Bombyx mori: one gene and its partner. The protein of the gene in region 1 purifies or fractionates together with the protein of each later gene. This does not show direct contact. Links are inferred from orthologs where the notes say so. Each region holds a gene or a part of one and is shown in the gene's direction. Other genes may lie near its edges. The genes, in order: 14 kDa subunit splicing factor 3b and Phf5a.

What was found.
Region 2: the proteins of 14 kDa subunit splicing factor 3b (region 1) and Phf5a purify together in Homo sapiens (affinity purification with mass spectrometry; 4 studies listed by BioGRID and IntAct, with this or other methods). This does not show direct contact. The link is inferred for Bombyx mori from reciprocal best matches to the Homo sapiens genes SF3B6 and PHF5A.

What each region holds. Positions count from the first base shown.
Region 1 is NC_085111.1:9,664,697-9,667,824, reverse strand, and holds the end of 14 kDa subunit splicing factor 3b, read left to right. Parts: intron 1-2,014; coding exon 2,015-2,246; 3' UTR 2,247-2,455; downstream 2,456-3,128.
Region 2 is NC_085114.1:14,383,729-14,387,397, reverse strand, and holds Phf5a (PHD-finger 5A), read left to right. Parts: upstream 1-1,537; 5' UTR 1,538-1,592; coding exon 1,593-1,644; intron 1,645-1,718; coding exon 1,719-1,909; intron 1,910-2,352; coding exon 2,353-2,442; 3' UTR 2,443-3,059; downstream 3,060-3,669. Other genes in the region: ATP-dependent RNA helicase DDX47, read right to left, coding at 141-260.

The sequences.
Region 1 (3,128 bases):
CATAAGATTCATATTTGGGTTACGGAAATATGATCATATATCTGAATTTCGCACTAAGCTCAAGTGGTTACCAATTCGCCTTCGCCGCAATACTCATGTCCTTTCATTACTATACTGTACTCTCTTTAACCCCCATACCCCTACATATCTCAAAGAACGTTTCGAGTTCCTAGGTGATACGCATAATTTTTCTCTGAGATCATCAGATAACCTGAGACTGAAAATGCCGGTGCATTCATCATCATTCTTTGACAATTCATTCACCGTCCAGGCGGTTCGATTGTGGAATGCTCTGCCGGATGCAGTGAGAAGTGCTCCAACTTTAAACTGTTTTAAAAGAATGGTGAAGGAACACTACATAACTGCTTAGTGCTGTTTGTTGCATCATTATCATTTATAATTTCCATACTGTTGATTTAATAAGTGTGTGTAAATATATTAGTATGTATTGTATGTAAGTATGTATATTGGTATATATTATATTATGTAAACGGTATATATCTGTTTATTATATGTATATATTTTCTATAATAATGTATTGTATATGGTACACCGCACCTGCTATATTTTTTATATTTTACAGAATTTCTGTAAATTAAACGGTTGTCTGGAAGAGATCGCTTTTAGCGATAAGACCGCCTATTGTACATATGTGCTTTTTGACTGTTTGTTTTTTTAAAATGTAAATTGTGTTGGTGTGCAATAAAGTGTATTCTCTCTCTCTCTCTCTCTAAATAAGTCCACTGACGACAGGATATCAAGCGGTTAATGAAGCTCCTCTACTCACAGGGCATTCCTTTAACACCGTAGGTCTTAGGTCAAAGTCCCTGTAGAACTGGAGTAATCTCCTGTGATACTTTTCAAAACATATTTTATGAGTGATTTGATGCAGAAATGGACAGGAAATAGTCGTATATAACCATACAGATGCATAACACAACACACAATAGATTTACGTTGATAGCACTAAAGAAAATTCCCCCATTTGTCGTAGTCGAAGTTTGTCGAGTCGAATACTCAATTCTATTGTATAAAATCAGAATGTATAATTATCTGATGTTTAGATTCAGATACCATTGGTAGTTTCTACTTGTGAGAGCTCACAGCAATAAAGCATATTTATTTTATTTTCTTTTATCACAGTATGTTAATAGTGAATTGTGAAATTTGCTTGTGAGCATAGGCTCTATGTAATTATACTTAGACAAATTGCTAGAATTTTTTTAGTTGTAAACTTGTAAAGCTATGAAAACTCATTTTATGAAATACACTATTATTGAACCCTCTCTATTGATAAAGCACATGATGTACCTTCTATCAAGTGAAACATTCAAATTGGTCTTTGAATACTGCAGACACTTACTACTTTTTGTAAGGAAATACATATTTCATACTTGTTAATGAAATAAATTCAATGATGAAAGAATAACATTTTATATAAAAAGGAAACCTGCAAAATTTATAAATATTCATAATTACTGGTGGAATTGTAAGCCTTAACAGGCAGAAAGCATCCTGCATATTTTTCTGAACAGATTGTACTTTGAATGGTAAAATTGCTAGTTTTAACAACTAACTTTTCAAGCTTATGTCTGGTGTGTAGCAGCATTCAGATTGTTGACTTTGGGCTGTGTTAACCATTTTCCACCAGGTGGATTCTGAGCTCATTTTAAAATCTAAGCAATAGATAATGAGATTTAAAATATTTAGTTGTGAAAGACTGGAACTCTTTTATCAATAATTTCTATTAAATGACCAAAAATATCATAGTAAAATTTGTCTGGCTATTTAAATTAAGAATAAGTAAGTCATAGTAATGAAGTGTGATTATGTTAATTAATGATATGATTTCTTTCTACTTGTTTGGTGTAGTACTTGTGGTACTTTCTACTACCTTATTTGGTGTATGTGTGTCAAATTTGAGCATTTGGTCATAAAATTGACATTTGATTTACTTTATATTAACCTAATAAGAAAAATATTTTTAAAGCAATCATTTGATTTTCAATTTCAGAGGGAACACTCCAGAAACAAGAGGCACAGCATTTGTTGTTTATGAAGATATATTTGATGCAAAAAATGCCTGTGACCATCTATCTGGTTTTAATGTTTGTAACAGGTATCTGGTTGTACTCTACTATAGATCCAACAAAGCCTTTAAAGGTATTGATATTGATAAGAAACAAGAAGAAATTGATACATTGAAAAAGAAATATGGAATATCTAGTGAAGATCTGCGTAAATGATAAACTATAAAATATAAGTTTTTTTTAAGTACAATTGTTTTTAATTATTTGATTTGTATAGCTGTGTAGATTTTAAGCCAGAGAACCTATAAAAATCTTATCATTAAATAATAATGTACCAACGCGCTTTCGTAATGTCTTCCATGATAAAAACCATAATTTTTTGATTTAGCTTTTAATTCTAATCGAAGTAAATCCTGTAGAATTTATTAACTTGCGTATTATTGGTTGGACAGGTTGAAAGACCAGGTACTGGTACTTGGTCTCAACCTGTCCTTTCTGCGCGAGAGTCACGTTCTTCCTTACACTAGGCATCATCCTCAGAGGGATGATATTCAGTCTCTACATTAAGTCAATACGCGACTAGGCTGCGTTCTTACACGGTCGATTCTACCCCATGATCTGTAACGAAGTAAATTGTCCTATCGTAACAAGGATACACTATGCGACTTACATCACGCGGCTTGCTTGTATATAAACCCTCCAGGTCATCCAATCCCATTACTGCAGGATAGCTATCGCAGCGTCATGGTACGTGAGGAATCTCGACCTTCACGACGATCTAAATTTAGAATCGGTACGTAAGTAGTAAAGCAGCGTCAGAATGCTACTTCGACAAAGCGGCACGATACAATAACCCTATTATCGTGGTCGCCGCGCATTACATATGTACCGACCCAGGTCGACGGAGCAAAGCAAATCCGTCGTCGTCCGAAACATTTCTTGTCGGATCCTTCGGATCTACTTTCGGTGCTTTTAGGCACTTGAAGCACCGGTCACCGTCCTCGTCCAAGTCGTCGATTACAACGAGTGAACTAACCAAAAGACAGCCCATCGAGTTTTTCGCCTGATCTTCTCAGTGAATAGATTCCATGAAGCACT
Region 2 (3,669 bases), on another chromosome or scaffold:
TAATAACCTCAAAAAGTGTTATTTTTATTCAACGTTGAAGCAATTTAGTAAATCTAAGGCACCATTTGATATTAAAATCAATAAAATTATATTACAGTATTTACTTAGTATTACAAACACAGTTTAATGTAAAAACTTACCAAATCCTTAAATGTTATTTTATCATCTTCAGTATCTTCGTTGACATTTTCGGTTGGAGTTTGTTCCACCTCACTATCCTGGTTGGTTTCGTCTCCATAGCTTTCCTTGTCTGCAGTCATTTTCTCTAAATTATCATTGTTTTGGGGAATACAAAAAAGACGCGAATATTGAAAGCATGTGTTTGAATTAGGGGTATGCTGATTTCTGATTTCTGATTTCTGAATCTATCACATATAATATGTGACGTATGTGTCACCAAAGAAGTAAAACTGTCAAAAGTATACTTGACAATTAAGACCGATCGCAAACCGGCAATTAGACTTTTTGGTGGGAACGCGAGGAGTGAAGTTGTGTGATTTGTTTTATTTTGTCTATTTAGTGTTTCTTCAGGTTTAAATGTGTAATAACGGTGGTTTATTAACTGTTTAATATCTGTGACAGTGCACAAATGTGGGAAAATGAAACAAAGCCACTGGACGTAACTTCTCGGGATCCTCCAAAAAGTCCACTGAAAAAATCTCAGTAAATGACCACCATTTTACTGAGATTATATTTCATCCCATATCATCTCATCTCATTTCATTTAATTTCATCCCAGTTGATTGTTGTCTCAAATTAATCATCTTCATTTCATTTCATATTATCGTTTTCCATAAAAATACCCCATATTATATCATCTCATCTCATTTCATTTTATGCCATGTTTCATAAATTAATACACTTCATTTCATAGTATCATATTTCATAAAATAAAAAAAAATATATAAAAGGTTAGGCTGTATGCTATGATACCTTTGCCTTTCCATTTGGAAAAATGAAACTACTACTACTACTTATCTATGGTGCCAAATTATAGGACATGGCTTCGGCCTTAATGAAATTTTTATTTCAGGATATGAGTCGTCTATTATCAAAGGTGGCAATCTGTGCATTTGGACAAAAAAAAATTATTGATATGTCAATACAGATTGTTTTGAATATAATCGTCTCCTTCAAAGAATACGGTTCAAAACCTGCATTAAATAAAGGTTAATAGTTAACCTGTTATTTATCTAAGATGTCGTTCCGAAGAGTTTTGTGACTGCCAATGGAATACAAAGTCAATAATTCGTTTTTTCTGATTTACCAATCATTGTCCAAAAGTCAGATTGCCGGCTTTGATAATAGTCGACTCATATAATTTAAATCCTATAAGACCTGGCTTTGGCTTTATTATAAATTTATATCAGAAATTATATAGAACAAATGAGGCGGTATGGGCTTAGATCCCTTTGCCTTTCCTAATAAGGAAAAATTGTAACAAAAAAATATATCTATGGTGCCACTTGTCAAAATTACCGGGTCAAAATCGTCAAAATCTTTGTAGGTTATTCGATAAAAAAACAGTAAACGGCAAGTTTGATAATAACAATCAAAGAACATTCGCCAGCAGACCAGACCTAACTAAAAACATGGCAAAGCATCATCCAGATTTAATTTTCTGCAGGAAACAGCCCGGAGTCGGTTAGTAGTATTAAAAAATGGAAGACAACCAAGTTTAGTGTCGCTTGTTTTAATGCTATTTCTTATTTTTCCAGCTATTGGACGTTTATGTGAGAAATGTGACGGAAAATGTGTGATTTGCGATTCTTATGTGCGTCCGTGCACGTTGGTTCGTATTTGTGACGAGTGCAACTATGGCTCGTATCAGGGGCGATGTGTGATTTGCGGCGGGCCTGGAGTATCTGATGCTTATTATTGTAAGGAGTGCACGATACAGGAGAAGGATGTAAGTTTTAATTTTGTAATTTTTGAACTCAAATAATCGCATCGAAATCATTAATTTAAATTTCCTCAAATCAAAAAACATCGTTATATTTTGATAGTTTAAAAACTCACAAGAAACTAGTCAACCTGACTTGATCAAGTGACCTGATAATGATTGTGTGCGTCCCCAATATCATGTACATTAAGCCAAGCCTAATAAAATGTATAGCCAAAAGGATTGTGGCATTGAAGTGGCATTGGGCAGGACACATTGCTCGTAGAACAGATGGCCATTGGGGCCAGAAAGTTCTTGAGTGGCGACCGCGTATCGGAAGACGTAGCGTGGGTAGGCCTCCCACAAGATGGACCGATGGACGATGGCAGTGGACGTCTGTGCGCTGATAACAATAATAATAATAATAATAATACATATTATTATGCTAATAAAATTGTTATTTTTCACAGAGAGATGGCTGTCCAAAGATTGTCAATTTGGGAAGCTCTAAAACAGATCTGTTCTACGAGAGAAAGAAATATGGGTTTAGGAGACACTAGCATTAGGTTTCTTTTTAGTTTTTAAATATTAATTTCTGCAAAGTTTCTGTTATTTAAAATAATAAAAACAGAGGTTTTTCTCAACTAAAGTTTGATTGAAATACAAGTTTGTTTTTATCAACTACTTTGTTGTTGACTTTTTAAAGCCAACGGCTATTATGATCAAGTATGGTTTTCAATGTCTAAAGAGTTGCAGCTCGGGTCCAAGAGAAATTCACATATATTTTTTTAAATTCATTCATTTATACAATTGGATTGTTGTTATCGATGATATCTGTTATTTTTTTACAATTTTTTTTATCCTTTGTTTATTCAATGCAGATTAGTTTTCATTTTCCAACTAGAAAGAAAATACTTGAAAAATACATTTAGTTTTTGCATTTAAATTATTAAGATTCATTTTTATTTTTTATTTTTCTACTAAATTGTCAATAAAGATATTTTTGACTACCATGTGCTCTGTAAAACTACAGACAATATGTTAGCAATATTCATGTATGTAATGAGAGTGATTGTACTGTGTGAATGTTGTCTGTCATATTTTGAAAACTATGTTTCTAGTGTGTACTTACATTAAGACATTATGTAATTATTAATAAATGCATTGGTATTACACATTTAATGGCCCTACACTACCATTTTCTCCTTCGTCATGGGTCTGGGAAACAACCAAACATAACTAAGTAATTTCTAATCAAATATCTTTTGACTATCCGGGAATTACACATACCTGGACTATATTATATCTTTATATATATATATTTCTTATGTGCGTGTGTGTGTCACTGAACTCCTCCTTAACGGCTGTGCTGATTTGAATGATTGTGTTTGTATGCATTTGGGTGGCACCCTGGATGGTTTAGATTCACAAATCAACCCAGCAGAGGGCGCTGCAGTCGGTATCTAGGTTATTTATCTTTCCTAGAAATAATTTATATGGTAAAACAACATTTGCCAGCTAGTAGTATTATATAGTACTAGTCAGTAACACTATATAATTACACAATGAATTAGGTGGTCAAGCAAATATTTTAAAGTTATGGTATTGAATGAGAAAACTATTATATCGAGGGGTGAAGGGGGCTATTTGGTTTAAGCGACATTTTTGCAACTACAGGAGAGCCATTTAAACTAAAGTAACATTTGGAAAAAATATAATAACAAAAAACTTCTTCAACTATTTGAATGGGGTAAACTTAATTGAAGTTTAACTAAAAACATCGAATT